Caenorhabditis elegans: one gene and its partners. The protein of the gene in region 3 interacts with the protein of the main gene of each other region in a pairwise test. Each region holds a gene or a part of one and is shown on either strand. Other genes may lie near its edges.

The links.
Region 1: the proteins of blmp-1 (region 3) and nhr-114 interact in a two-hybrid assay, tested with the Caenorhabditis elegans proteins (one large-scale study listed by BioGRID).
Region 2: the proteins of blmp-1 (region 3) and zip-7 interact in a two-hybrid assay, tested with the Caenorhabditis elegans proteins (one large-scale study listed by BioGRID).
Region 4: the proteins of blmp-1 (region 3) and sem-2 interact in a two-hybrid assay, tested with the Caenorhabditis elegans proteins (one large-scale study listed by BioGRID).

What each region holds. Positions count from the first base shown.
Region 1 is NC_003283.11:4,184,286-4,191,282, reverse strand, and holds nhr-114 (Nuclear hormone receptor 114), read right to left. Parts: upstream 4,081-6,997; 5' UTR 4,075-4,080; coding exon 3,891-4,074; intron 3,677-3,890; coding exon 3,474-3,676; intron 3,276-3,473; coding exon 2,937-3,275; intron 2,882-2,936; coding exon 2,751-2,881; intron 2,675-2,750; coding exon 2,553-2,674; intron 2,501-2,552; coding exon 2,386-2,500; exon of another isoform or gene 2,273-2,385; intron 1,582-2,272; coding exon 1,419-1,581; 3' UTR 1,279-1,418; downstream 1-1,278. Other genes in the region: Y45G5AM.9 (Aftiphilin clathrin-binding box domain-containing protein), read left to right, coding at 1,136-1,267, 6,208-6,783. UniProt on the Caenorhabditis elegans protein: Probable transcription factor which may have a role in detoxifying dietary metabolites arising from bacterial tryptophan metabolism.
Region 2 is NC_003282.8:16,501,024-16,507,980, forward strand, and holds zip-7 (BZIP domain-containing protein), read right to left. Parts: upstream 4,660-6,957; 5' UTR 4,647-4,659; coding exon 4,530-4,646; intron 4,427-4,529; coding exon 4,232-4,426; intron 3,215-4,231; coding exon 3,107-3,214; intron 2,568-3,106; coding exon 2,430-2,567; 3' UTR 1,887-2,429; downstream 1-1,886. Other genes in the region: Y51H4A.935 (uncharacterized protein), read right to left, coding at 5,597-5,632, 5,939-6,073, 6,129-6,140.
Region 3 is NC_003279.8:10,406,621-10,416,409, reverse strand, and holds blmp-1 (B lymphocyte-induced maturation protein 1 homolog), read right to left. Parts: upstream 7,109-9,789; 5' UTR 7,052-7,108; coding exon 6,874-7,051; intron 6,541-6,873; coding exon 6,446-6,540; intron 6,185-6,445; coding exon 5,317-6,184; intron 4,807-5,316; coding exon 4,460-4,806; intron 4,078-4,459; coding exon 3,983-4,077; intron 3,933-3,982; coding exon 3,464-3,932; intron 3,049-3,463; coding exon 3,001-3,048; intron 2,918-3,000; coding exon 2,564-2,917; 3' UTR 1,637-2,563; downstream 1-1,636. UniProt on the Caenorhabditis elegans protein: Transcription factor which binds to enhancer elements in the promoter region of genes. Regulates the expression of the transcription factor bed-3 to control vulval development.
Region 4 is NC_003279.8:5,202,517-5,210,661, reverse strand, and holds sem-2 (Transcription factor sem-2), read left to right. Parts: upstream 1-2,533; 5' UTR 2,534-2,540; coding exon 2,541-2,741; intron 2,742-3,078; coding exon 3,079-3,342; intron 3,343-3,861; coding exon 3,862-4,269; intron 4,270-4,317; coding exon 4,318-4,431; intron 4,432-5,125; coding exon 5,126-5,353; 3' UTR 5,354-6,132; downstream 6,133-8,145. Other genes in the region: osr-1 (TPR_REGION domain-containing protein), read left to right, coding at 7,256-7,301, 7,491-7,808, 7,861-7,979, 8,109-8,145. UniProt on the Caenorhabditis elegans protein: Probable transcription factor required for embryogenesis, vulval development and cell fate specification of the postembryonic mesoderm (also known as the M lineage).

The DNA of each region.
Region 1 (6,997 bases), on a different chromosome or scaffold from region 3:
TAAGAAATATATATATATATATATGCTGAAATTAACGATTTCCGTAATGAAACTTCTCGAAAAAATTCAAAAATTTCCTTATAAAACTAGCTAATTTTAGCTTAAAATCTCCAATTTTTCGGGAAAAAAACTTCTAAAATTTTCTTAAAAAACTGGCTAATTTTAGCTTAAAATCTCCAATTTTCTATTTAAAAAAACATTTTTGTACCCAAAATGAAATAAAACAGTGTCAAATTACCGAATATAAATGTTTAAAAATTTATGGAATTTTCCTACATTTATTAAAAATACTTTTTCAGTTTTGCAACAAAAAAATAGGTAGAAAGAGTTGAATTATTTTTTTGTGCAAGTTCCCGCGCAAATGACGTCATTTTCGACATTTTCGATTTTTTACAGAAATTTTTCAGTTAAGAAAATCCTAAAATTGGCCTGAAAATCAATAATTTAACAGTAGAAAAACTTTTTCTTCGGAAAAATTTCCGAAAAAAATTGTGAAATTATGTTTCAAAATGAAAAATTGAAGAAAACCCTATCCGGATTTGCCGGAAATTTTGATTTTTGGCAAATCGCCGGTTTGCCGGAAATTTTCATTTTTGGCAAATTGCCGATTTACCGGAAATTTTGATTTTTGGCAAATTGCCGGTTTGCCGGAAATTTTCATTTTTGGCAAATTGCCGGTTTGCCGGAAATTTTCATTTTCGGTAAATTGCCGGTTTGCCGGAAATTTTGATTTGTGGAAAATTGCCGGTTTTGCCGATTTGCCGGAATTTTTCGTTTTCGGGAAATTGCCGGTTTGCCGGAATTTTTCGTTTTCGGGAAATTGCCGGTTTGCCGGAATTTTTCGTTTTCGGCAAATTGCCGGTGTTCCGATTTGCCGGAAATTTTCAATTCCGGCAATTTCGCCGATTTGCCAGAAAATGTCATTTTCGACAAATTGTCAGTTTGCCGATTTGCCGGAAAAATCGTTTGCCCCCGACCCCTGCTTTGAATTATGAACAAAAACCTTCAATCAACTTTAAAATAGCAATGCAACATTTTGAAATTAAAATTTGCAATCAATTTTTTTTGTCAAAAAATGTTCTAAAAATTGAACTAATTTTGCCAAAAATTTACCCCAAAAATCCCGTAATTTCAGATGACGACTGCATTATCACAGGACGAATTTACGGGATTTCAAAATTCGGAAATACAGAAAGAAGAAGACGATGACGACGATGAGTGGGGAGATTTTGGAGAAGCCGTTGTTGCTGCTGCACCAATTCAGGCGGTAAGAAAAAAAAGTTAAAACTTTATTGCAAAAAAAATACCAAAAAAAAAAAATAATAATAAACGTATATAAATAGGATTAGCATTGAGATTTTTTTTCAAGCGTGTAAATATTTCTGGAAATTAATTTATTAAATTTAAATTTATTCACTTCACAATTTGTGAGCAACAACGCTCGTCGTATCACCGAAAAACAGTTGCCGGGCAAACGCCGAGAAGCCGATATTCTCGAAAAAGTCTGCAATCCACACGGCCTCTTTCGATTCGCACGCCATTTTTGACATGGACGTTCCCATCAGAACCAATCGTGCGAATCTGCAACACGGGGATGAAATTGTGATCTATCAGTGCCGGGGGCTAAAAATTTTGGTAAATTGCCGAACTTTTGGTACATTCTCAAAATTTTAATAAATTGCCAATTTTTTGATAAATTGCCTAAATTTTGGGAAATGTTCAAAATTTTGGTAAATTCTTAAAATTTTGGTAAATTGCCAATTTTTTAATAAATTGCCAAAACTTTTGGAGGCACCACCGAAAGGAGAACATGTGAAAAAGGAGAATTACGAAAAGGAGAACACAAAACCACGCCCATTTTTCCATGCCGCGCGCAAGTTTTTGCAGAAACTTGTGCAAATTTTTATTTTCAAACGAGATAACGCGAAGCTCCGAAAGAACGTATCGCGTGTTGTTTATCACACGAATTCGTTAGTTCGGATCTTCGTTGTCTCGTTTGAAAATAAAAATTTGCACAAGTTTATGCAAAAACTTGCGCTCGGCACGGATAAATAGGCGTGGTTTTGTGTTCTCCTTTTCGTAATTCTCCTTTTTCACATGTTCTCGTTTCCGTGGTGCCTCCCAAAATTGTGAGAATTTTTCCAAAATTTTAGCATTTTACCAAAATGTTGAGAATTTACCAAAATTTTAGCATTTTACCAAAAATTTGAAAATTTAGCAAAATTTAGAGAATTTACCGAAATTTTGGTCAAAGTGTTCCAACTTAGCTTACTTAGCTAGTCCGCAACAAGACACATCAAATTGTGATCTATCAATGTTTGATTTGATCGACAAGCGAGTAATAGATGAATGCATCAAAGGAAGGAAAAACGTGATTTCACCAACCTTTCGATTGCCGTGTCCACGTCGTCTTTCATGGCCATGTAGCCGTATAACTGCTTGGTGATGCGGACTCGTTCGTTGTTCACAAGCTTGCGAGCCGGTAGAGAGATGTCAGCGTCTGGAATCGCATCAAAGTGAAAGTTTGGCTCTTATTGAGATTCCGCCCGGACCTGGATTCAGAAACGTTACCGCTTTGAACGCTGCAAATTCGGTTGCGTCGAGCTGTAGATCACGGAACGGCTTGAGCACGAGATCCAACATTTGATACTTTTTCCTGTTGAGTCCGGCTGGCCTATAACGATTGAACACAACGCGGAACGAGACGGGAATTGGGGCTCGGTTTGGAGTATATGTGACCGACAACTTACCGGGTTGGCTCTGGAGTACGATCGAAGTAGGCACCATCTGGGAATACAATTGTGTCTGGTCCGTAGTCCGGGGAGTTCCAGACTTGAACCAGGACTGGGACTGTTATTGCGGCATGGCGAACAAGTTCGGCCTGGAAAGGATTGAAATAATTAAATCGTTATACATGTTTCTGGTTTTCTTCCAACCTTATCTTGATAATCGAGCGCCTCAAAAACATCGAATGTTTTGGCATACTCTGTCAACAAGAACCAGTCTCTCTCGTGCCAATAGTGGTAGTCGTCGTGATTGACGAATCGTAGATCGAAGATCTGATGTCTCTCACTCGGCTGTCCCCACTTTTCCAAAAAAGCCGTGTCGTTCAGCAGAGCCTTTGAGCATAGAGCCTCGTGGAGAGATCGGATTGGAAGATATTCGGAGAGTCGGAGATCATTTGCACACTTTTCGCGTTCGGCAAGAGTTTGTAGGATGCAGCGACGAGGTTTCAGTGGTGCAGCTTGGAAAAGGAGTGGCGAGATTGGTGGAGGCTGTAATTTGGGATCACGTGGTGTCAGAGTTTCTCATTTCGGCTTGATCTACGTAGATCTATAGAAAATGCGGGAAAAGAGACGCAGAGTTCTCAACTGATTTTGCATGGTTGAGAACGTGCTGACGTCACACATTTTTTGGGCAAAAAAATTCTCGCATTTTTTGTAGATCAAACCGTAATTGGACTAATTAATTACCGATAGCTGTAATGGAGACACTGATGGTGGGGTGCTTGCTCCTTCGTCACTTGAACAGTCCGAGGTAGTCTTCAGCTCTTTTTTTGGACGCCTGGTACGTTTTGTGTATCCGATAGGGTCACGGTTTTGTTGGAGGGCGTTTCGGTCCATTCCCACGCTCAAACATTTCTCGAATCGGCAGTATCGGCAGGCACAGCGGATAGCTGAACTTTTGAAATATTTTTTATAAGTTCCTTGTTACTGCTAACAAGTGGTGTCAGAGTGTCCCATTTCGTTTTGATCTACGAGAATTGCGGAACTGATTCCGCATGGTTAAGAACGTGCTGACGTCACATTTTTTGGGCGAAAAATCCCCGCATTTCTTGTAGATCAAACCGAAATGGGACAGCCTGACACCAAGTGTGCTAAATAACTCACTTTTATCAACTGGACAATTGCCCTCGAATTGGCAAATGTACTTTTGTTTCTTCATAATTGTTCGCCGGAAAAATGTCTTGCATCCGACACATGACGGGACACCATAATGGTAGCCAGAAGCGAAATCTTGACAAACGAGACAAACGTGATCACGAGACGAGCTCGGAGACGATTGAGGTGTCATTTTGACCTGAAATACGCCTTGTTTGTATTGGTTTTTTTTGTGACAACGAGAATAATGCCAAGAGACACTAGACACGATAACAAATGCAAAGTGCCCCCGAATCGATGCGTTTTAGAGATAAAATGAAGGAGAAGAGGAGAGGTAAACTACAACAATTGAACTGTGATGTGAGACAGGCTAGGGACAGCTGTTGCAAAAAAACATTTGAACTTTTGATTTCTAATCATTTGAGCAAACTTTTTTTGAAACAATGATTTGCTGGGTGGTTTTGGAAGTTTTTTTGGAAAGAAATCAAGTCCTTGATGAAGTGACTCGGAAAAACGGGCGGTCAAATGATTGTTCATTATCAACATATTAACAGGCTGCCTAAGAAATGAGAATAGAAGACCTTGAGATGTATATTCTATATATGTCTGATATCAACGTGAAGATCGAACTGTCTTGCAATAAAACACAGTGGCTTGGGGCCTGCTGCTGACCAGCAGCTTCATCGCGTCCTCATGTATTTTTCACACTACCCCCTCCTCCTCTCAATTTCCGATCGTCCCCGTCGTCATACGACAAAGATTTGGGACGTTATCGCTGCCCGTTATATACGATTCTTCTTGACCAATGAACAAAGTACATGCGATGGGGGGGGGGGGGGGGGTGGAGCCTCTCTTGGAAAATGCCACGAGAAAACCACGCCATGTAATGTTGAAGAAGGGAAGATTTGATAAAGAAAGAAGTCTGCACCTACCTACTATGTGAGAAGACTTTTGTACACACAGACTGTAGCAGCAGCAGCAGAAGAAGAAGCTACACGTGGTGGCAGAGTGTCTCATTTTGGATTGATCTACGTTGATCTACAAAAAATGCGGGTGAGAAGAAACGCAGAGTTCTCAACTGTTTTCGGATGGTTAAAAACGTACTGACGTCACACATTTTTTTGGGCGAAAATTTCCGCATTTTTTGTAGATCAAACCGTAATGGGACCGTCTGGCACTACGTGAGCTAATCAATTTGTCTATGATACAGGAGACATGAAGAATGAGAAAGTTGCATTGTTAGTTGCTGAGAAATAGGCGAAAATTCGTCCTATTAGATGTTTTGGTCATTTGATTGCTGATAAGACACTGATAAGTGCTAATCAATTTAAGAATTAGTTGTTGGTAAATTTAACCATCTTATGATTAAAATAAAAACATCAATATTTGTACAAAAAATTCTGAGAATGCGTATTGCATAACATATTTGACGCGCAAAACATCTCGTAGCGAAAAAGAAGACTACAGTAATCGTTTAAATGACTTCTGTAGTGCTTCTGTGTCGATTTACGAGCTCGATTTTTGAAATGAATTCTTCTTTTCGAATATTGCCGGTCCAGAGAATGAGGAAAGTTGAATGGACACAGATATTCCGGAACCCAAGGTTGCGGGAAGAGCCGATTTGTATGGATTTACGGAGAGTTTGTGAATAAAAACACTCCGTAAATCGACAAAAATCGTCTCTTCCCGCGCCCCGCCCCTTGGGTTCCGGAATGTCTGTGTCCATTCAACTATCTACACTCTCTGTACCGGTAATATTTGAAAAGAAGAATTTAATTAAAGAATCGATCTCCCGTAAATCGACACAAAAGCACTACAGTAGCCATTTAAACGATTACTGTAGTTTTCTTTTTCGCTGCGAGATATTTTGCGCGGCAAATGTGTTGCACAATACGCAGCATTCTCAGAATTTTTTTTTTCGATGTCAGCGTGGCGAGACCCATGCGCGCAGGATACGCCGAAAATGCTTTTATTCAGACTTCAAAGCGACTTTTTGCAAAAATCCAAAATTGTCCTAAATTTCTTTAAAAAATCACAAACAAAATGAAAAAAAAATCGCGGAAGATTGCAAAAATCCAACTTCACGTAGTGTCAGAAAGTCTCATTGCGGTTTGATCTACAAAAAATGCGCGATTTTTTTCCCAGAAAAATTGTGACGTCAGCACACTCTTAACCATGCGAAATCAGTTGAGATGTCTGCGTCTCACCTCCCGCATTTTTTGTAGATCAAAGCGAAATGGGACTTTCTGACCCCACGTGCAACTTTTTAAAACAAAATTTCATATCCAAAATGAAAGTTTCGACCAAAATATGTTTCCTTTTTCAGAGACCTCAATCGCCGCCTCCATCGTTGAAAATGGATGGTTTCAATAACGAAGACGACGATGATGATGACGATTGGGGAGCATTTGATCAGGCTCGGCCTTCAACAGATCGGACTGAAAGTAGCCCGAATTCGTCTCGATCTCAGGAAGCGCGCCACCAACAATCGCTGGATGAATGGGGAGCATTTGAGAATTCGAACGATTTGAAAGCAAATGGTGATGAATGGCAAGCTGAATTCAGTTCAGCTTCGGATGTTCCACCACCACCTTCGGATACTGTACTAGAAAATTTGGAGCTCCTGGATGAAATGCTCGAGAATGTCGAATTTTGGCATGACGGATTTCAAGAAGAATGTCGTGAAGAAGAGGAGTCACCTGAAATGGATGTAGTCGATATTCCGGCTCTTTTCGATTCGGAGAATCTTGTAGAAATGGTGAATAGCTTTGAAGTGGAAAGGCAACGAGATTCACGATTATGGTTATCTCTGCGTCTTGTCGAAGAGGCGATCTCACTGAAATTTGATTGGAATAACTCGGAAATTCGAAAAAATCATCTAAAATCATTGAAAATTAACCCGGTGAGTTTTTTTTCTAAAAATTTCGATGAAAAAAGTTATATAAATTTAAATTTAAATTTAATTAATTAAATAAATAACAGTTAATTAAATATTTAATTAATTAAAAGAAAAATTATTTTTTTAAACATAAATTCCCCCAAATCATTTTCAGTCTCGATATTTCCATCTAGAAAATTATTATAATTGTTCCGAGGTCCCGACACGACAAAAAAAT
Region 2 (6,957 bases), on a different chromosome or scaffold from region 3:
GCTATTTTCTCAAATTCAGCAAAATTGGTGGAAATTTCGCTGGAAACTACACTATGCACCGATAAAGTGGCAATTTCAGCTTCAACGTATGGAAAAACTGAATTTTACTGTCAAAATTGACCTGTTTGAGACGTAAAAACCAGGGAAATCGGATTATTAGCTTTAATTCACAATTTCCCCTGAAAATACGGCAAAAATGCAGAAATTCAGTCAAAAACAAGGTTTCCAAGTTAAATTAGAGCTATTTTTACACTAAAAACAGCTAAATTGGTCAAAAATTTCGCTTTTTCCTGGTGGAAACTGGACTATGCACCGGAATTATGAAATTTTAACATTAAAATGTGTAAAAAATATCTTCAAATCACAATTTCCTAAGAAAATACAGCAAGCCGGTGAATTTGGAGGGAAGAATGCAGAAATGCAGCCTTTTTTCCTACTAAAGATAGGAAAATTGGCTGAAATGCATTAAAAAAGTGGAAATTCCAGCCTTTACTGTCAAAATTGACTTTTTCAAGGCATAGAATACCAGGGAAATTGGATTATTAGCTTAAATCTAGCTTTAATTCACAGTTTCCTCTTGAAATACGGCGAAAATGCAGGAATTCCATCAAAAATGAAAATTTCACTCAAATTTCGATGTTTTTTTGGTCAAATTTGAGCAATTTCCCTGCGAAATGGAATGGAAAACGACCGGGATTGGACTATGCACCGGAATTATGAAAATTCAAAGTTAAAATGTGTGAAAATCACAATTTCCCCTGGAAATACGGCGAAAAATGGGAAAAAAAACGTTTCCCAGCACGAAAACGCACACAACTTGCAACCAAAAAAACGAAAAACTTCTCTCGAAAAGTGATAATTTAGAACTCTCCTGATAAGCGAATAACGGACGGAGCTGATAAGCAGAAAATGGAAATAATAGGAAAAAAACAGGCGACCGCGCCGCACGGAGACAGACGCGTTGCGGTCAAGCCGCGGCTCCCATCCATTTTGCCATTCCATTGCATGTCGACTGCCCATAAATTTGAGCGAACAGACAGAGAGAGAGAAATAGAGAAAGAAATCGAGAGGGCGCCCGTTTTCTCTGCGTCTCCACACGTTTTCCAGCTTAAAAATTGGTTTTTCTCGCTCGTAAATGCAGTGGAGAGAGCGAAATCCTTAATTTTCTCTTGTTTTCCGCTTAGTTTTATTGTTGAAATATTGTGGACGACGAGAAACACATTTTTCCATTTTTTTAAGGCTTTTTCGGCGGTTTTTACGAGAAAATCGGAGTCCGAAGCGAACGATTCTCACAAAAAGTGATCTGGAAACTAAAATTAACGGAAATCAATCAATTTTCTTCCTTTCCTGCTGAAAAATGCATTCTAAGCGCTGAAAAATCGGCGGAATTATGCAATTTTAGTGATTTTTAGATGTTTAGACCCGAAAAAATCATGAAAAAGCTATAGAAAAAATGAAAAAATGCAGAAAATCAGAGAAAACGAGCGAAAAATAATTTGAAAATGAGTTTTTCTGTGCAATTTGCCGTGACGGTGTTTGCACACGACGAAATCTACCGTACCCCCCGGGAAAATATTCAAAACTGGTTTTTCTTGGAATTTCGAGTTTTTTCGACTTTTTCCAGCATTTTGAACGAGTTTTTTGGGAAATTTAACGAGAAATTACTGAAAACGTTATATATTCCGTCGAAAAAGTAGTAAAAATCACTCAGGTGATGCTTTGCCGGGAAAATAATGGAAAAATCATTTTTCCGTCCAATTTTAGGGTACAATTAGCTGAAAAATTGAATTTCAGCATTAATTCTGGTCAAAAGCGGGAGGAAAATCCACGAATACCTCGGAAAATGAGCAAAATTCAGAAATTTCCGGGAAAAAGTCGAGTAAGCTGAAAAACTGTTTTATTATTAGAGAATTTGGATTTTAAAGTTGCTTTAGCTCGAAAATCAGCGAATTTAGCTTGAAAAACATGCCCAGAAAATGCCCAGAAAATCGGAGGAAAATGGGGAAAAATCTGAATACACCTATTTTCTGAGATTTTTCTCATTTTTTCGTGCGGAAAGTGTCAAATTACAGTCGGTACAGCTTCGAAGAGTGAAAAATCGACAAAATACAATCAAAAACTAACAAAAATTAAAGAAAAAACGCGAAAATTCGGAGAAATTAGCGAAAACTGAGCGAAAAATAATTTGAAAATGAGTTTTTCTGTGCATTCTGCCGTGACGGTGTTTGCAGACTCGGAATTGCTTACCGTAGTCGCTCATTTATTTTTTTTGAAAAAATGCATTTTTCTTCAAAAATAGCTATATTTTTACAGAAAATTACAAAAAAAAAGTGACGCAATGAGAGGGTGGTGTGTGGAAATTCGATACAGAAGCAAGGATTTGAATGTGTGTGCAAGAATGAGATGATTTTGTGTGGGAGGGGAGAAGCTTAATAACTCGGCATATTCGCCATGGCAATCGGGTCCATAGTGTCTATAGTGCCCGGATTTTGCAGGAGCAAATGTTGTCTCATCGATTCGTTTTGTAGTTGGAGCTGTTGGACGTAGACTCGCAAGCATTGATTTTCCTGGAGAAAAAATAATTATTAATTGATTGATAAAAATTTTATGCCGTCAGAACTAAGCCTTTTATCAGAGTTACTCTTTATTTTTAGTCCGAAAAAAAAGTAAAGTTAAACTTTAACGAAACAAAAAAGAAAAGCCACTCCCTGGAATTGATCCAACGAGTGCTCACACCGAACTGCGTCCACTACCTACTGCTCCAAACCAACAAATCTTTCCAACACCATTCTTGGTGAACATATCGAAAAGTGGAACACCATTAAGGGAACAAACGTTACTGTACGTGTGCACTAGAGCGCGTTTGCAAAACTATCAAAAAGTACTTTTAAAAGTGTCGGTTATCTACAAAAAGCCATCTGATATTCCCGAAATTTATTGAAAAATTGGGAAAAGTCGGCGTGGGCGCGTTCTCAAAGTTATTGCGTAGCCAGGCTGACACCTGTTGACTGATGACGTCATCAATTAAGCCCTTTTTTGGAAAAAAAAACCCGCCAAAAAAAATGATGCAAAGGATTATTATCTATGGGAAATTTTGAAAACGTACCCTCTCCAAATATGTTACACGAACACTATTGTCCTGATCGACTTTCTTGCGAGATTCTCTGGATTTACGGGCGGCTTCGTTGTTTCGGCGGCGCCGGTCGAGATAGGCCTGGAAAATTGGATTTATTCGAGAGGATTTTGGACTATTAGCTGTCGATTTACGGAGCTCGTGTACTCCTCGTGGAAGAGTTTACACTGGTTTTTTGAAGAAAAAAAAACGGCTGAAAAGCTTGATTTTGGCCAATTTTCACTGATTTTTGTTGGATTTTGATGGTAAATTGTCATTTTATGACATAATTTATAGTTTTTAACTCAAAAATTGCCGATTCAAACGTTAAATACAAGAAAAATCAGCAAAATTGGCATAAAAATACTTTTTTCAAACGAAAACCCAGAGAAATCAACTCCACGAGGAGTACACGGCCTCCGTAAATCGACACGTGGCTAGCTATTAATTCATACGACTTTTTAAATTCATACGACTTTTTAATTCATACGCCTTTTTAAGAAAAATACGGCTAAAAAACTTTATTTTGGATCTTTTTTGCTGATTTTTTTTGTATTTTACATTAAAATTGTCAACTTATCTCGATTTAAATGCAAAATACGAGAAAAATCAGCAAAATTGGTCCAAAATAACGTTTTTTCACTGAAAAATCAGAAAAAAACTCTATTTTCAGTTTAAAAAAATCAATTTTTCAACTTCGTGGCAGTGAAATTAGAGAAAAAACTCGGCCACCACTTTGAAAACCAGCGGAAATTAAAAAAAACAGTTCAATTTTCATAGCAGAACACGGTTTTCTGGCCTCATAAATTGAAATGGAAGAGTTTGCAGAACTAGGCCATTTTGGCTCGGCCATATCTGGGATAGATTTACGTCGCATTGCGTGTCGCGTCGCGGCTCGGATTTGTCCGTGTGGAGTACACGACACTCTCCCACTCGTTGTCCGGCGGGCGATTGTCAATGGAGCGCGAAACATTCAATGAGGAAAACCAGAACCCTGTGGCAGAAGGAATCCAGGAAACCTCGGCCGCCATTTTTTCTCGGCCACATCTAACACTAGCAGATCGGCCGTTTTTTTCTGGTGGCCGAGTTTTCTCATTTCTCGGCCATTTAATCTCTTACCTCATCCTTTTGATTTTCCGGCACCGGAACCGGTTTTTTCTTCTTACTCCCACTGCTGCCACTCTGCTGATTTTGAGACGACGTGGTGGATGACGTGGAAGACGATGACGGGGAAAAAGATGACGTGGCATGGGGATTCGCGTATGGCGCGAAATGTTGAGCAAAAAATGGGAGAGCAGTGGCTGCGGAGTAGTTCTAAGAAAAAAATTTAATTTTTTGTTAAAAAGCATTTTTGAAACAGTAAAAAAATTTTTTTACTTTTTCAAATTTCAGAAAAATTCCAAAAAAAATTACAAACCTTATCAAAAGCTCCTGCTCCATACGGATTCTGTGCGTACATCTGATTGAATGCCTTTATAGAATCCGAATCACACATTCTCGAGGCAGCCAGCTGCTGTTGAATGTCTGTCATCATCTGGAAATAATCTGGAAATTGGTGGAGAATTGGTGGAAAATGGCTAGAAATTTAGGAAAAAGCTTCCAAAGAACACAGTAATAAGTTGAAAAAAATTATAATAAAACAAATTTTTTTGAAACAGAATTTTTTTTAAATTTTCAAAACCAAAACCGTATTACTCAACAGTTACCAAACTATTACACCGGAACTTATGAGCTACCGCATGCTGAGAAAAAGTCTGCACGCAAACAGGACACCTCTACAGGCCCTACTAGACCCGCCTCCTCCCCCATTTGCCCACGGGGTCTCTAAAGACGGGCGGCTCTTTTTATGATGATTTGAACTGTAATGGCGCAATCGTTGCGTCGTTGTTCTCTAACTAACTAACTACCGTCTGCTGTTAGTTGAATAATGTACCGCAAAAGAGATTGGTGGTGGTCCTAAATGTATAACGAGGTGGCAATAGGTGGGCATGTCTTGGAGTTCCGTGGGGAAAACTGGGCATAACTTGAAAAGTGTAAGAGCTAATAAAAAGTTGTCAACCAACAAAATGTTTAAAATCAATTTTGCAATATTTTCATAGTTAAAATCTTTTTGATAACTTCAATAGCTAAGGAGATATAAGCCTTCAAACTTAAAAATCGGTAATTTTAGTTGGAGTTTTGCGCGAAAAACTACCATAACTGAAAAAGTATCGGAGCTAGTGAAAAGTTGCCAACTAAAAAAATGTTCAACATAAATTTATAAATATTTTCCCAGTTGACAACTTTTTGATAGCTACAATGGCTGAGGAGATACTACTTCTTCTGTAAAAAACGCTCGTACTTCAACTTGCTAACAATTTTCCCTTGTAAATTCCACTTGTTAAATGCTTCACATGAAACAGGCACCAATTCAAAAATTCAAAAATTAACACAAAAATCCCAATAAAACTGGTTTATTCAAGTGAAAAATGAGAATCCTGAAAATTATTGTGGCACGGCGAGCTCCTCGTAGTTGCCTTCCTGAAATCAGAATTGTTTCTTTAAAAGTAGGACCTTCCTCATTGCATTATTCGCGCTCTATTGACAATCGCCTGCCGGACAACGCGTGGGAAAGTGTCGTGTACTTCACACGGACAAATCCGAGCCGCGACGCGACACGCAACGCCCCGTAAATCTACTGAGCCAAAATGGCCTAGTTCGGCAAAACTCTTACATTTCAGAATAGGAGGGAAGGCAGAAACCTGTGGTACGTATCCCAAATCAGCAAAATTAATTAAACAATGCGTTGCGGTCGCGTTGCGGTCGCGTCGCGGTCACACAACTCACAGTTTCATCCTTCTTCTCCTTTGGAGCCCCTAACTTTGATTTATTTGTTCCTTCCGGAGAATTTGCTGACTTCTTCTTCTTTCCGCCACAATTCATCACCAGAGATCCGAAAATCACAAGAATTGGAAGCACGAGCTGTAAATTTCGGAGCATTTTTTGCAGGCAGGCAGGCAGGCAGGCTTAAACTGACTTGTGCAATCATTTGGCTTCTTCTTCGTTTCAGTGGAATGGAATTTTTAAACAAAATTCGAAACTGATTTTTTCGATTATTGATTTTTAGTTGGCGACTTTGAAAAAAAAACACGTTTTTTTTGAAAATTATTTCCCAGTTTCACGAAAAAATTAAAATTATTTTCAACATTTTTTTCCATTCAATACGTTTTCACGCGTTTCCCCCGATAATATTCAAATTTCCGTATGTCAGAATAGCGGTAAATTCAAAGAAATTACGCAAGTTTTTGGGGTATGTGTACTTGAACATACGCACACACAGATTATTGCGTTACCACATTAGGACCACGGGGGTATAATGAGTTGGGGGGTGTTGGCCTTGTGGCCGTGGAGGTGAAAAACCTCGGCCACTACCAACTTCTAATACGTCTATCTTGGTTCCGGATAAATTTGGAAAAAGTTGTCAACTGCGAATTTGTGGAAAATTTAATTTTCTATAATTTTGTGGTTAGCGATTTTTCAATAGCTTTTTTAGTTTTTAAGATATTTTTAAATTTTAAATTGACAATTAGAATAAGCTAAAAAACTATTTTTAGGAACCGGAATTTATTAAATATTTAAGAATTTTGAAAACTTGCATGCTTGCCAGAAAAACCGCGACGCGACCGCAACGCTTTGAAGCCCAATTTTGTTTTTCTATTGCACAGTAACTTTCCCGTCAATCCCGACTTTTACCCACTTCTGAAAAACCGCTACGCAACCGCAACGCACCTAAAGCTGACCACATTTTGGACTGAGAGAACGCAGAGAAGCTAGAGTACTCTCGTTTCTCTGCGCTCTCTATCTCT
Region 3 (9,789 bases):
GCTGGAAATTTCAATTCCGTCAATTTACCGATTTGCCGGAAATTTCAATTCTGGCAACTTGCCGATTTGCCGATTTGCTGGAAATTTTCAATTTCGACAAATTCGGCACTTTGCCGGTTTGCCGATTTGCCGGAAATTTCAATTTCGGCAAATCGGGAAATTTCAATTCCGGCAAGCTGTCGGTTTGCCGATTTGCCGGAAGTTTCAATTCCGGCAAATCGGGAAATTTCAATTCCGGCAAGTTGCCGGTTTGCCGATTTGCCGGAAATTTTCAATTACGGCAAATCGGGAAATTTCAATTCCGGCAAGTTGCCGGTTTGCCGATTTGCCGGAAATTTTCAATTACGGCAAATCGGGAAATTTCAATTCCGTCAATTTGCCGATTTGCCGGAAATTTCAATTCTGGCAATTTGCCGATTTGCCGATTTGCTGGAAATTTCAATTCCGGCCAAGCTGCGTTTGCCGAAGTTTCAATTCCGGCAAATCGGGAAATTTCAATTCCGGCAAGTTGCGTTTGCCGATTTGCCGGAAATTTTCAATTACGGCAAATCGGGAAATTTCAATTCCGGCAAGCTGCGTTTTGCCGATTTGCCGGAAATTTCAATTCTGGCAAATCGGGAAATTTCAATTCCGGCAAGCTGCGTTTGCCGATTTGCCGGAAATTTTCAATTACGGCAAATCGGGAAATTTCAATTCCGTCAATTTGCCGATTTGCCGGAAATTTCAATTCTGGCAATTTGCGATTTGCCGATTTGCTGGAAATTATCAATTTCGACAAGTTCGGCATTTCGCCTGTCTGCCGATTTGCCAGAAATTTCAATTTCGGCAAATCGGGAAATTTCAATTCCGGCAAGTTGCCGGTTTGCGGATTTGCCGGAAATTTCAATTACGCCAATTCGGGAAATTTCAATTCCGGCAAGTTGCCGGTTTGCCGATTTGCCGGAAATTTTCAATTACGGCAAATCGGGAAATTTCAATTCCGTCAATTTGCCGATTTGCCGGAAATTTCAATTCTGGCAATTTGCCGATTTGCCGATTTGCTGGAAATTTCAATTCCGTCAATTTACCGATTTGCCGGAAATTTCAATTCTGGCAACTTGCCGATTTGCCGATTTGCTGGAAATTTTCAATTTCGACAAATTCGGCACTTTGCCGGTTTGCCGATTTGCCGGAAATTTCAATTTCGGCAAATCGGGAAATTTCAATTCCGGCAAGCTGTCGGTTTGCCGATTTGCCGGAAGTTTCAATTCCGGCAAATCGGGAAATTTCAATTCCGGCAAGTTGCCGGTTTGCCGATTTGCCGGAAATTTTCAATTACGGCAAATCGGGAAATTTCAATTCCGGCAAGTTGCCGGTTTGCCGATTTGCCGGAAATTTTCAATTACGGCAAATCGGGAAATTTCAATTCCGTCAATTTGCCGATTTGCCGGAAATTTCAATTCTGGCAACTTACCGATTTGCCGATTTGCTGGAAATTTTCAATTTCGACAAATTCGGCACTTTGCCGGTTTGCCGATTTGCCGGAAATTTCAATTGTGGCAACTTACCGATTTGCCGTTTTTCCGGCAAATTTGGCACCTCACCGGTTTGCCGATTTGCCGGAAATTTTCGAGAAAATTAGTATGTATGTAATCCTATCAAGTTTTCAAAGTTTATATATATACATACAAAATTAGACAAGATATTGTTTTGAAAAAGTTAGAAAATAGAAACAACTTCTAGAAAGAAATTGCAAAAATATAATGAAAGTATGATCACAGATAGGTGTGTTGAAATGCCGGAAGATTTTGATGGAAATTGTTGAATAAAAAATAGAAAATTTTGACAGTGATAAGAATGAAAGGGGACTGATAAAGCAAGAGACAATGAGAGAATGAAAAGATAATATAGGTTTAGGCGGTGTATATGGAAGATTTCAAAAAAATAATTATATTAAATCTGATAATTTTGAGAAACGAACTATTTGAACTTTAACTCAGGTTCTTTGTGGAATTATTTGAATTTGAAGTTTTTGAATACAATTAATATTATGAGAGACTCGTTCTGGAATGGGAGGATGGAGAAAGGGGCAGGAAGGTGTAAGAACAATTTGAGATTTTGCGAAAAAAATTGATCTAATTGTTTTCTACCTGGCTTATAAACAAACTGGTAAAAGGGATCTGAAAATATTTGAGTAGCATAGTAAAAAATGAAAATGCTAAGATGCTGGAGAAGCAAGCAGGGGCTCTTGTGTAGGTATAAAATGCCTACACGCCTGCCTACAGGCACTCCAAAAACTGCTAATTTTGGTTAAATTATTTTTTCAATAAAAAATTAATGTTAAAATATAGAAAAATATCCGGATATAGAAATAAAATGAATTTTCGAACTTAACAAACATCTTTCTATATCTACATTCTCACATTAACTTTTTTCAGATGAAATTTGCGTTATTCTACCAAAATAGGCAGTGCTGTGAGGCACGCAGTGGAGGCATTAATTCCTACACAGAAGCTCAAGTACAAATGATATGACTGGATTGTGGGAGACGGGTAGTGTTTTCATAAAGTTATAAATATGATAATTATGGATAATGCGGCAATCCGAGGCTTGGAAGTAGGGGATTTTTCAAATCAGGAAGCCTATGAATCCCATTATGTTGTGGATGTTGCTGTTGACCAGATCCAGATGATGGACCTCCTTGAATAAGTTGATGTTGATGTGGAATACCTCCTCCATTCTGCATTCCACTATGATCCATTTGGAAATGTTGTGGAGGTGGTGGTGGCCCCTGAAGATGGGATCCTTGTCCCATATGTCCCATTGTGTTTCCATACATCATGTGTTGCTGCTGTTGAGATGTTGGTGGTGGAGCCTGTTGTTCTTGCATTCCACTTGGACCTTGACCGAGGAGGGAGGCGTTGGGAAGATTGTATTTCTGAAAATTGTAGGATGAGAATGGGAAAGTGAGATAAGAAATATTTATTTGTATGCATGATGAAGCCGAATATAAAAGCTTACACTATAAATGGTTTCGATTGGCATAAGTGGCCGCTTGAGTTCGGAGTTCTGAAAGCAGTGAAAATGTAAGCAGAAGCAAAGCTGTTGTTAGTAATTTACTTGATTTCTTCTAAAGCTCGAAAACTAAAACTCGAGCAAAAAAATTTATTCACGACCGTATTTCTTCTATTAGTCTTGCGCCCACTTACTCTACTTTGACATCTCATATCTCGGTCCACTAAAGATATTTTTCCAAATGTTTCACAAATTCAATATTTTCTCAGTTAGAAATTTTTCGATAAAACCATAGGCAACTAAGATATGAACTTACAAAGTTAGGAAAAGTGGGTCAATACTATTAGAGGAAACGTTGTCGACTTAAACTTGGACAGTATTAAAAATTTGATCAACTTTTTAAAACTTAGTTTCCATTTTGTAAAAAACGGCGGAACATGTATAACTCGATATAATCTTCATTACTTACCAGTGTATTTTCAAAGATTCCCAGATTTCCATAACCCGACCCTGACATTGATCCTTCATCGATTTCGCCTTTGATATCCATTAAATCATCCCTCATCGAGTCTTTCATATCCTCTTCTTTACATGTAGTTGTTTTCCAATGAGTTCTCAATCCACTCGGTGAAATATATTTCTTTCCACATGTTCCACAACTATACGGTCTTTCGTTTGCATGCAGACGTTTATGAAGTCTTAGATGAACGTATTGAGTGAACTTGGCATCACAAACATCACACGTATACGGCTTCTGACCATTGTGAAGTCGAAGATGAGTTTTTAAATTAGAAGTCGACGAGAATCGCTTATCACAAATATCACAGCGATGAGGACGTTCTCCGGTATGAACAAGATGATGCTTCTGAAGATGAGCAAGCTGTGTGAACTCTTTTGTGCAAATTTCACATTTGAATGGACGTTCGCCGGTGTGCGTTCTGAAATGTTGAAAGTAAAAAAATAATTGGAAAATAAGAAAAGTTCTAACCTGACATGAACTTTAAGATTCGAAAGCTGTCCGAATGTTTTGTTGCAGTCTTTGCAAGCGTATCTCGTTTTTCCATTTTCCTGTTGTTGCACGTACTGAAAAATTTTAATTTAAATTTATTTTCATGTAGAAAATATGAAAAGGAATAACTAGACATTTTACCAGGTCTAGGCGTGTGAATCGCCCTCCTTGCGCCCTGATTTGAAAAAGATTTACAAAAAAGCACCCGGTAATCAATTGATTTATGTATCAAAACTTTGCTAATTTTATTGGGATCAACATAGAAAAGGTAGAGATAAAAGGTAGAGATAAATAGAGGCAGGGTCAAAAATTATAAAAAATATATAATTTAAAAAAATTAAAAAATCTAGTATTAAACATTTAAATATCAACTGTTTTTTAAAAAGAATGTTTCAAAATATTTTCCCATCAACCATCAAGTTCAACAAATTAAAAATCTTCTTTGGTAAAACTTACATTTGGAACTCCATTAAATGATGAATCATTGTGTGATGAAGACGAATGATTAACAAATGGAAGTTGATGAAATGAAGAAGTATGGGCACTTCCACCCATTCCAAATCCTCCACCCATACCACCACCACCTCCGAATGCTGGAGACGCAGATGTGTACAGAGGTTTTGATAGCTCATGCTGGAAATCTTGACTCCCATAAATTGCTGCATAGTTTCCAAAATGAGCTCCTGCAGTTGCTGCAAGTACTGGCTGCACATCAATCGGCTGGCCGGATCTTCCACCAGTGGCAGTTATTGCGGCTGTTGTTTGAGCAACAGGGGACACAAACATTGAGGTATCAACTAGTTCTGAAATAGGGTTCAATTGTTTTCAGGACTTTTTAGGACGCCCCAGTTTGTTTTTAACTTAGCAGTTAACAGTAAGCTATAAAATTATGAATAAACATACAACATGTATTTTGAAAACTTTTCCGTTGATAAAACCACATCCGCACGGGATAAAAGCTGCCGAAAATCCGAAAACAGGTAGATCACTAATTAAAAAGTATAGTAAAGCATAAACAATTTGATAATTTAATTGATTGAGGAAACAATTTTAACAAACTGAAAATATTGTTAAACTTAAGTTGATGTGTTAAAAACAAAAAAAAAGTATACAAATGTATCTTGTTTGTCGACAGAAGCTTAATCCCCATCAAGGACATATGGCGTTTTTAGCTGTTTCTGATAAGTTTTGTTAACAAAATGTTAAGCAACTTTTTGCATCTCCAGTGAAAAAAACTTCAAAAAAAAGTGTTACATTTTCAAAATTTTCAATTTCAGCTTATCAGAGATTCAGAGTGGGATTAATAAACTCACTTAATTGAAGGGATTTCCTCATGAACTCTTTAAAATCCACCAACGGACTTGCATAAAAATTGCCAAGTCGAACGGGTATTCCCGGGAAATTATTGACTTTGGTTGCAACAGGCCTCACAACTGGATTCTGGATAACATTAGGCCGTGTGACTTCTGCAACAGGCCGTGTACAGCTCTCCTGCTCTTCAACATCAATCATTTCTTCGTCACTTGCAGAAGAAGCATCAGTAGAGAGTGTATCAATGGGTGATTCAATGAGTTTTTTAACTGAATAATCAATTGCCACAATTGTTTCTGCTAAACTCGCAATTGCAGTTGATGCAGAAGCTGGTGGTGCAGATGGAATCAGTTGAGTAGCTGGCCTTCGAACTCTTACGTATGGTCTTGTTGAATAATTTAATTTCCTTGCGTAGTCCCTGCTGAACCAAAATGATAATTCAGTATTTGCTTCAATCTTTTTAACTGTGTAAAAGTAGATATCATTTCCAATTTGTGCAGCAACAAGATTCTGAAAATCTTCCTCTTCAGCAGCTGCCACGTATTTCATCCAATTTGATCTCGCATCATCTTTCACACAAATCGTTTTATTCAATCTGCCACCTGATGGAGAATAGATCTTCCACTCTTCCGGAGCTTCATCAAATGGAACATCTTCTTGAGCTGGACCACCTCCAGCCATTGATGCTTCAGCAGGACATACAAGTGCTGTGTCAACATCTACCAAACGAATTTCTCCAACGAGCGGGCCAAATCGGACTCCTCTCGGAATATGATCAGATGACCATATTGACGATTTCTTTCGATTTTTTGAGGAGGACTTGAGAATTAGGTTCATAGGAAGTGTGCATTCTGCTCGCTTTGGATTTGGCTGAAAATAAATGGAATTAAAATTGAAATGGTTTTTTTCGATGTATATTAACTTTCTCATACTATTTTTGTAGTCCTGGCAAAAAAACGGTCGGCAAAAAAGCAACTTTTTAGTGCACATCTCAAACTTTCTATGGAACGTTTTGAACTTTCCAAATTTCTAGAGAACTTTTTGTTCCAAAACCATTTTTTTAGAGAAATATACATGTAGGCAGGCAGGCTCGGTTTTTAAAACTTTATAGACTATAAAATACGAACTCACCAAACTAACAGATTTGTCTGGAACATGAAATATACATAATTCGGCAAGATTCTCATCTCCCGACTGCTTCCAATCAGTTTCAACGTTTCTCGCACCTGAAATTAAAATGTTCATTGTATAAAATGACAGCTTCACAGTTTTTTCTTTCGGTTTAAATTTTGAAGTGATTGTTTTTTTTGTTTTCACTTTCATTTGTTCTTTTTTATATGGTGTCCACGTCTAGTTCAAGAGGGAAAAGAACATTTTGATGATAAGTGATAGCGCGGCGATGATAAGCTTGGCGGCATTGAAATTTGATAAGAAATCCGAAAAGGAAAAAAAAGAAGTGGAGGGAAGAAAAACGAATTTGGCTGATTCGATTTCTTCGCAAATGTAGATCACGGATGGCTGCCAAGGGGGCCGAGTTACAGTATCCTATCACAACTTACCTGACGCTGAAACTCCGGCAGGTGACGTGGATGATGGCGGTGTGGAAGATGATGACGTGGCAGATGAAGCAGAAGAAACGCCGACAGAAAGGGGAGAATGAGGTGGTGAGTGAGCTGCCGCAGCAGCCGAAGAGAACGGTGCCGGCGGAACACCGTCATCCCCACTTCCTTGACCCATTTTTTACAGGTTTTGTTTAAAATGAGATCGAAGGAAAAGAGAAGAGAGATTTATTTTCTGAAATTGAAAACATGATTCTGGTAAAATAAAAATAATTTTTGGCAAAAAGAAAGACAAATTAAAAGTGAACCAATTCAAATAAAAGTTTCAAAACAAGAGCGAGAGAGTAATAGAGCACGGAGAGGGAAAAGGCGAGGGCGAGAATCAGGAAAACGGCGCCGAAATTGTCAAAAAGACCTTGATAAGGAAGAACTCGAAGAATTGGGGTGAAATAGCTGGGTGACCGAGGAGAGTGCAGAGTTAAGAAGAGCAAAAAGGGAAAGTTGGTGATTACGGTAGGTGGGTTAGATGATGGGAGGTTGTGCAATAATAGATTAATGTTTTTTTTAAAGGAGGAACTTATTAAGGCGTCCGGGATGTGCGCCTGCCTACCTATCTTCAATACTGCCTACTGAAAAAGTCAACAAGAACTGAACGAAAACCTAAATTACAGAATATAAGAGGTAGACAGGCATAAGTCAGGCGTCAACGTCTCAAGAAAAATCTGAAGAGGCAGTAGTTCAATAGCTCAATTTTTTTCAATTCCAAGTTAATTTCAGAGTTGAGCTTCTGAATTGAAACTTTTTTAAGATGTCAAGGGAATACGGTATGCATATTGTCGATCCAACAAGTAACCTCGTTGCTCAACTTTCGCGGCTTATATCTCGGTTCTCTTTAGTTGTATCAAAAAACTGTCAACTATAAAAACATTTGCGGACTAATTTTCAATATTTCTGCAGTTGTGCAATTTCGGATATCTAAACAAAAAACCAAGATATTAGCTGAAAAGGTGAGCAGTCCGATTTAATACTAATATAGGGAATACCCTTAAAGACGGACTATGACTTGTGGGGATTTTGCATCAAATTGCTTTAGATACTCCCAATAATTCGTATTAAACAATAAAAACTAAAACAATTGGCTAAGTTTGAAAAAACTTAATTTTTTAATTTCAAGCCTACGGGAGTTGCTCAGGAATATGTGCCGGAGAACTGAAAACCAAACAAGTTCATTTGAAGATTGTTTTAATATTTCAGAAAAATTCAAGCTTGTTCACATAATTTTTGTTCATAAACCTCGAAAATTCCCATCACCGCGGGCACAAATTCCAGAGCTTGTATAAAAAACCTAAATTGGCAACTTTCAAAAAAAGTGACGGGTGAGAAAAAAAAGTTAAAAGTTTAGAAGAAAAAGAGCGAGGCGGGGTCAGATCTGTTTGTCTTTTTCATTTGAAACACGTGTGATTCAGAATTCAGAAAAGGAGCCGACAACTTTCAAACAAAAAAATGTGGGGATTTGGGAAAAGAATACGGTAGCTTGGCAAATATGAAATCAAATTTGAAATGTACTAAAAAAATTGTAAAGGAAGATCGTTCATAAAAAGGAGGAGATGAATAATAAGAGTTTGTACAAAAGGGGGAAAAGCGAGAAAATAGCTGCTGCTACTACTGTTGGATGGGACGAATTGGAAGCAAAGAGAGTGAGAGAATGGATTACGGTAGAAAAGGATAATAAATAGTATTGAAATTTCAGAGATGCAGAGTCACGGTCAGTCATGACGCCGCCCGAGAATTGTCGCTCGCGCGCGCGCAACGACCATTCATCCATGGATTCGGATTCGACGGTGGTCTTCTTCTCTTCCGAAGAGTGTGAGGTATGGCTGTACACAGCAAAGAGAGATCACTGATTGAAGAGAGGATCAGAGAATCAGAGAAAGGGACCGGTTTCCCCCCATTTGTTCGCGCACTCTCTTGCATAATGGACGCTGCTGGACGACGACGACGACGACACAGAGAGGCTTCTTCTTCCCCTTGAACCTGTTCTTGCATATCGGGCCTGTAGAGATCCGCCAAAGTGATTCGAGGAGAGGATCGTCTCTTTTAGCCAATGTTTGTTGGAAGAAGGAGAAAAGAAGGGAACGCGCCGTCGGAGAGGGGGCAAAAGCTTTTGGTTTCTTTTGGCATTCGAATGGCTATTAGGGAAATTGAAAGGCCTGAAGCAGAGAGAAGGGAAATGTGTACGGTTTTAGAAACTGAACATTCAAAACAAAACAGCTTTGCGTGGTGGAAATGGCAGGGTTTACTTGAATTAGATTTCTAGATACTGTACTTAACTCGATCCAGAATCTGGTAAAAGGGATGCAATTCGGAACTTCAAAGACATTCGTCAGGTGAATGATAATACCAGTTTCAGAGTTTTTGGTTGATGTCATAATTTGTAGCTGACCAGAAAGGAATCTTTAGAATTGTGACGGCATAATAAATTACCACGAAAGTCGTGAATTTTTCTAAGGTTCTAGGAGCAAAAAGTGCTGTCAATTTATGGATTAGATCGAAAATGTTTTGGCAGGATGTCTTAAATTTTGTTACTCTGAAACGATGCTTGTAAGATGTAAGGTGTCACCGTCGTGCTCCAATACTATAGATCGGTGATAAAACCAACCAATGTCAGGCAAGAAAAAAAAATGTCTCAGATATCCTAACTTTAAGTTCCATAACTTTTCCACGTCACCTGGAGTGCATAACTACCTGATGTCTACTTGCTTGCGCGCCTGCCTACCGCTTATTTTAATTCTTAACTCCGGATTTCGTTGTTTGGACAATGTGAATTCACTCATTAATTAATTATTGGAATAAAAGTGCACATAGTTTGGCAGTAGGCATGGGTGGGTCGCCGTGAAGACAGATATTTAGTTAATA
Region 4 (8,145 bases), 5.2 Mb from region 3:
GGCAAGTTGGTACCATACACTCCCATTTGTCATCTTGCCGCCTTGCAAAGGTTTTTTTTTTAATGTTTAGTATACTTTTGAAGATGTACCAAATTTTTGGATTTTGTAGTTTTGATTAAATAGTCAATTAAAACTGCATTTAGCTTTTTAGTGAGTTTTAAAGTTTTTTGAGGCATGATTGTAAATACTTGGTAAAATTAGAAATCAATTTTTTGAAACGTTCTATGCTTTGATGTCTGAAAATCTAATTTTTTGTAATTTTATTCAAAGAGATTGTTGACCAATATCGTGACCTCCCTTCTCTAAAAAAATTTCAGTGTTATGTTCTCTTGTATCTGAAACTGTTTTTTGTTGCTGTTGTAATACAAGACAGCTTTCCCTCCTTCCTCTCATTTCTTCAAGTCAGTAGCCGTCTTCCTCTCGATGATCTCGAGACACTTTCACCTCTTCTGCCCCCTCTTTTGCCCCTTCCTGAGTTGAGAACCGGTTCCAAATTCTGCCGATTTGCGATTCTCTCTCTCTCCTTCTGCGCATCAGAAGCTGAAGGCATCACCGAGCGTCGAGACTGTGAACACTTTTCCTCTTTTCTACCTCCAAAAAGTTACATAATACAGTTTTTTTGGAGGAAAGGTGTAAGGGGGCAGAAGTCATGATTCATTCGAGAGTGAACGCTAAATGAGATGAGGAGAAGGAAAAGCTGGTTTCGAAGAAGGATCAAGGTTACTGTAGTTATCAAGTAACCACTTGATCATAGGTTTTAGTTTGGAGTGTGCTAGTCTAGCAGAATTGCACATAACTTTCGATATCGTTGGGCACATATTTTGACTGTTTTAGAGTCGCCATGTGCATATAGTGCCCGACTTCGTTGACGATCTGTACATCGTGCATCGTAATGTCTATGAGGTACCTGCTGAAAGCATGACAAATTAACTGTGTAGGCAAAAGTTAGGAGCTCTTTTCTTTAGAAATAAGCATATTTGAGAGTTTCTTCAGTTAAAGTTAACCCAATATTTTGTTGTTACTTTTTTGATATCGAACATGGCAAGGTTTTTCACGGTCAGAGATTTTGAAATGTTCCAAAAAATACCAAAGTATGCATCAAAAATATAAGCCACCTTTTTTCAGTTCATTTAAGAATCTATTAGAATTAGAAATCTATGTTTGTCTAGATACCTTGCTTATTTCTCATTGGAAATACAATTATCTTTGTTATATTCAGAATTTCAATAGTTGAGTTTCATGTCTAACTCATCCCAAAATTCTTGTTTATCCAATTTCCCATGCAATCTAGCCACCTCAATGTACCAAGTTACTTGCCTCCTTTCGGAACTCTGCCGCAAATAACTTGGCACCTCGTGGTCCTTTGCAAAGTGCCGTAGAGGCGGTCTAGACACGCCTTTTTCAGGACGGGAGGCGGTGGTTGTAAGGAGGAAGATATACTTGTTACCATTTAGTTTTTCTCATTTCTGTTTTCTTGGCACCCTTTTTGATATTCTTTTCTATATAGTATTGTTTCACTTTCTGTACTTGGGTTTCCAAGATGAATGCTCTCTAAATGTGTCAAACCTTTTGCTCTCTGAAAACTTCCATTTCCAAACCATTTCTCTCATGACATGCCAATCTACCGTACATATACACACAGTAGTAGTACATCATCTCGTTTGGCCAATGCCAATTACAATTACCAAATGTCAAACCATTACATCATGCGAGAAGCCTCACTACCGCACTCTCGAAGTACACAGCTTCTGCTTCATTCTCCTACTTCGTTTTTGCCCCTTTCTAAAAATACCAGTTTTCTGATGCTTCTCCCCCTTATTCTATTGTGTTGTATTGTTATGTCATCACTCTTGTCATTGGGTTGTACAACATCCCTTTTCTCGAGAGAGAGAGAGAGAAATGAAAATGAGACAGAAAGGCAGTTTGACCTGATCATCTCGAAGAAGAATCAGTCAGGCTTATCATCAAAAATTGAATAGATTAAGCTCCTACGGTCATTTGCTAATTAACTTATCCAGCTAGAATCGTGGTAGTCATGATTGTTGATATTTAAGTTCTTATTTTGAATTTTTTCCTTTCTTGCCGTCTCTCTCCTTTTCCATACTTTTGCACATGTTCCAGCTTTTCTCCAGGAAAAAATTATCAGTGCTGGCTCTTATCAGTAAGCAAGTGACCGGCAACTAGAACCCTGCTTTACTATTACTTGAAAGTTTCTAATTGTATAGTTGGTTACGTTTCTTTTTGGAAAAGTATACTCTTGGTAGATTCTACCGTATACTTGTATCCTAAAGTATACTGTACTAAAGATACACTGAACGCCACCTTGTCTATCTCCTCGTAGAAATCTCTCATGGAAACGGATCGTAGACATCTTTGAATCTCTTATTCTCTCTAACTCTCGTTCTTTTTGGATTTTCCCTATATTTTCTGCCGAAATTCGGTCTCCTGAATTTCACTTTCTCTTACCTTTCTCTTTTAATTTTTCCACTTTCCGTTTCAACAATATTATTTTTCGTATTACTTTTTATTTCAGATATCAAATGGATCTCCAAAAACCGCCCAACTTCATGCTGGATTGTGGAATGGCTCCGCATATGATGCCGCCGATTAACTGGGCTGCGGCCGCAATTGCAGTAGCCTCATCGACTTCTGGAGCCACAAATGCCACATCGTCTAACTCGGTTGCCACGTCACAACAATTACAACATCATCCATATGGGACAGCAGCTGGAGGCTATAAGGTTTGTGATACGGTTTTTTTGGTTGTAAATATTGAAACAATGGGCTTTACACTTTGATAAGTGATAAGCTGTCAAAAGGACATCAGGAAGTGGACACAGCCCTTTTTGTAATAATTTTTTAGTAAACAAGGTAATAAATTTAGTAAAAACAAAAAACATGATACTTTGCACTGGTCATCTTGTTATCTTATTTTTTGAAACTTCTAGAGTGGAAGAGCAACAAATTTGAAAACTCTTTTCTTATCAGTTACTTGACATTTGCACTTTTAGAAATGTTCTCAACCTAGAAGTACCAAAAAATTAAAAATTGCTCTGAAACAAATCCATACATTTTCAGCATGCACAACAAGCGATTCCCAAATCAGTGACCCCGTATTCGGATGCAACAAATTGCAAAAAGTCATCAAATCACATCAAGCGACCAATGAACGCTTTTATGGTTTGGTCTCAAATGGAACGGAGAAAGATTTGTGAGCATCAGCCAGATATGCATAATGCAGAAATCAGTAAGCAATTGGGAAGTCGTTGGAGAAGTTTGACTGATGAGGAAAAAGCTCCATTTGTTGCTGAAGCTGAGAGACTCAGAGTTTGTCATATGCAGGTTAGTATGGGAGAATATAGTTTAATTCAATTCAATATTGATACCGAATTTTCTATATAAGTAAGAAATACAGTAATAATTTTTGAACAAGTGTATTTTCACTAAATAATTTCAAAACGTATTGTGCTGATAATAGAGGCTTCATACCAATCAAAAGTTTTCCGTAATCGGCATTTTCGGAAATTCAAAAATACGACAATTATCGAGTTCAAAAAAGTTAAAAAAAAAGAGAATAATTTGAAAAAAAAATTTGAATTTTGAACGAAAAACAAATTTCTACTATAGTCAGTGTAGGAGGTAGGTGAAACAATATAAGCTTTTCATTAAAAACTAAAAATTCCAATATTTTATTTTTGGTGATTTTCCGAATCTCAGAAATTTTTAAATATTCGACGTTTTTGGCAACTGCCAAATTATCAAATTTTAGAATATTCAAATAGTAGCTTACCTCTGTGCCACACAGGAAATACTGTAACCGGATTTTTCGAATAATTGTATTGTAATTTTAAATTTTTTCAGGAATATCCAGACTACAAATACAAGCCACGCAAGAAGCCAAAGAAGAATCCAGATGGAACACTTCAGCAGCCAGCTCAACCCCAAGCTCCACAACAGCAACAGGCCCCACCACGTGGAGCATCACCACAGGCTCGTCAACGAAAACGTCCAAACACAGATCAACAGTCAGAAACACAACAATTCCAAAACTTTAAATCAGTGAAAGTGGAGCAAGATTGGATGGGAAATGCTCATATGAGTCATGCACAAAAGATGCCATTTCATCCATCGTATCCATCACCTTCCGAGTTTGGACATGCTCCGTTGACACCTGAATCTGGATTTTATGATGACTATTTTACACAGCAACATCATCAACAGCATTTTGCATCACAACATCATAATTCGGCAGGAAGTCCCCTCAGAATGGTTAGTTTTTATAGATCACGAAATGCTTGGAAAATTCAATATTTTCAGACGAATCTTGGTATGGACATGGGAATGCCACCACAAATGATGGGGCATAATTCGGGATTTGGAGCTGGTAATCATCCTTTCTACTTGCACACTTCACCACCATCAGTTGATCAGGTACGGGTTGTCTCTTTTGCATGAGATTTTGTTTGAAGCACTTTTTGTTTGGGAGTACGGTAGGATGTAGTGGCTAAAAATTTAGAAAATTGCCAAATTTTATTTTCTGAAAGGTGGGGAATTTTATCTTAAAGAAAATAATTAATCACTCAAAATACTTTATATTTGTCAAAATTTTCAATCAAAGTTTTGCAAATTATCAAATTTCCGAAGAAATTTAACTTTATGAGAAATTGTTCGAGCCCTTAGAATTTATAGAAACACTTACTTGTGATTCAATTTTTACTTAGGTTTAGTACTTAAAACCCGTTGACTGTAAATTTTAAAAAAAGTTCAAAAATTTTTGAATTTTTCTGAAGTGGATTAAGTAGTTTCTAATACATTGTCGATATTTCATCTTTTATATTGAAAAACATTTAAATCATAAAATTCTTAGTACTGGCCATTGGATTTTGAAAATTTATATTATTAGTCCTTTTAGCGTAAATCCTACCGTACTCCATTTTCCACTACAATCCCTTCCCAGCATCCATGCTTAACATCCTAATAACCGCTTGTTTTCCTTCAGATACCTAACCCAATGATTCAGAATCATAATCTTTATAACATGTACCACTTCGCACCATCACCAGCACCAACTTCAACACCACCAGCACAATATCCTCATGAAATGTTCAAAACTCATGAGTTTCAGGACGACATGCGTAGTCTATCGTCTGGATCTTCGGGATACGCCGACTGTAGTGCTTCTGAACAATCAACGTCATCACCAAACTCGGCGGGAGTCGTCACAATGGCTACGGCCGCTACGACTACAACACATTTGGATGACCTGGAGCAGATTTGTCCAACTGTAACCACAGGCGAGCTGGTCAATTATCCATGGAGCGATGCATTGGGAATTGATATTAATTTTTCTTGAATATTTCAGACAAGTTTTTTTTTGAAAACTTCTGAAAGTTCGGGTAGTAAGTAGATCGCTACGTCCAAATGTTTTTTTTCACTGTTTCTTCTGAAAGCCCAACATTTTCTGCTCCTACCTCAATTCTAGCCTCTCCCCTGAAACAATTCTCTCTTTATCTCTCTCCAACAATTTTCGAGTGTCCCTTTAGTCCGGTCTTAGTACCTTTTAATCCCCAGCATTTTCTAGTTATTTACCACCTTTTTCTGTATTTTTCTCTTTGTTTTCCAGTATTTCCTCAACAAATCCAAGCGATTGTATTCTTTCATTTCTTGAAACCCTAAGAGTATTTCTACAAATCCAAAAAGTAATTCACTAATTTCAAATTGAAAGTATTCTTCTACAAAAGTATCGTCCCCATTTCTTTACCCATTTTTATCCTCTCCCAGCTTTACCGAGCCAGTTTTCATTCGTTCTTTCAACTTTCATCGATTACCCAATTCGCCGTTGTACTTGAAAAAAAAAATTTCTGAGATTTCAAGCACGAAATTATGATTGTATATGTTGAACACTTCCCCCCATCCCCTGCCCTCTACAATATGCCAAATGTAGCTACCCTTTTTCCCAAACCTGAAGAAATATTTATTCTCTTGTTCATCTCTAAATATCTCTTATCCTTTTTCACTCATCTTTCCAAATTTTCAGTATTGAATGAATTTCTTCCTCTTGATTTCATTTATTATTGATTGATTTATGTTTGTCTCCTTTTTCTGAGCAATAAAAATCATTTAAAAAATTAACTTGTTTTTGATTTCAAAATACATAGATTTGTGGAAATAATATACGTTTAATTAATTTTTTCTGTTCTGTAAATTAAAATTCAGGTAAATACCTAGCAATTTTCTACTATTAATTAGTTATTGGCAGCTGCGGCAAGTGTGTGACACAAATTGAAAAAACTTCCCTAAATAATGTCTCGTAAACAGTCTCGTAAAATATGTATGACATATTACAATTTAACATAACAGTTCAATCCTGGCCTGAAATCAATTTTTGTGCTGGTAGAACAATTGCTCCGTGAATACTGCAATAACCGAGCAGTCGGGAAGCCGCTTTTCTGGAACCTCTTGTTTTTTTTTGCAATGTCATTCTCGGAATTTTGGCACTTTTCTGAAACCTGCTTTAAAAAGTCACACCCTGTTTTTGGCTCCAACAGCTTTGAAAAAAAAACAACCTTCAAATAAATAGTGCATTCTATCATCCGTCCTTCACAACCTCAACTTGTCGGCATGTTTCTTTTTCTCTTTTTTTCTTTATTTTATCTTTCGTTCCAAATATTGGACATCAATTTCCGACATTTCGAAAGTTCTTTTCCCCAATTTATCGCAACTCAAAATCTTCAAAAAGTTCTTCTAAATTACTAAATCACACCGACCTCCAACGACGTTAACGGTCGTCAAACGAACCGGGTAAATTCTAAGATTGGCATCTCGAACACGCGACCGGCGCACGACCGTTTTTTTTGTTTGAATTGCAAAAAAAAAGACGAACCGAGTTGTTTTTTAAGTCGGGAAAGGGATTCAGTAGCACTCCTACATAATGATCGAATTGCAAGCAAGACCAACAGAGTCAATACTGTATAAACATCCTGATTACATGAATTAAAAAAACAAACCCTTAAAAACAAATCGAAACGCATTGATGATCCATGAAAGCTATGCTGATGTAACAAATCCTTCCTCTCCCACCCAAGAAACAAGTTTCATCCGAAGGTTCACCTATGTCAGAAGGTGATATTCTCGTCGTTAGCCATTCTTATCAATTCATTCTTGTTTTCATCCAGTTCCACGACTTCTCCCTTTCAAAAGATTTTCTCTTTCGCATTTTCATTTTATTTATTTCACTTTCGTAAAAGATTCGAAAATGATTTTATTTTTATTTTTATTCCTGTTGTTAGGATTTTGTATCGGTTAGTTTTAAATTCAATATTTAGAGATTACATTGTTAAATTTATGTTTCAAAAAAAATCAGAAACTTTAAAAAATTTGGCAATTTATCAAATACTTTGGCTGAACTTTTTGTGATATCCTAACATTTTTTTAAGTGATGATTTATGAGGAAAAATTGAAAAAAGGGAAAATATTTAGAAAATTTCCAGCACCATTATCGGCCCAATCTCCATCGACTTCCGATGCTCCGGGAGCTTTGTTGTCATCTCTCGTAGGTAAAAGCCATCAAAAACTACCACTGGCTCCATCAATGGAAGCTCTTGAACTGATGGGTGTTCAATTTGTTGATGCTCTCATCAAAAAAGGTCAAATGGAAATGGCAAAAGGAGCATTTAAGACTCAATTAGAAGTTCTAGAGAAAGTACATCCTGATCAATTCGATAAGTACAAAAAGCTAAAAGTTGATGATTTGGCAGCTGATGCAGTTATGCAACAGGCGGAGATGGCAAAATTACAGCCTAAATCAGGTTTTCATTTTACTTTTTCAGTAACTGTTCTGAAAACAAATTTGAATTTCAGGAAATGCATTTATCGATATGTTGAATGGAAATGGAATCCCAATTGGTAGCAGTATTCGTGGATTAGAAGATGCTATCCGAACGCAGAGAGATATGGAAAATACGGATCCGTCCGAACAGGTTGGTGTGAATTCAATTGCAGTTTTAAAAAATATTAGAGAAACTCCCTTTTCCCATTTGTTTGGGTTTTTAATTATTGTTTGCAGAATGATTTTCTTAATTTTATAACTAACAATGTTTCTAATTTAGATTGCCAAAGCCGTAATGGACAAATTTCAAACACAAA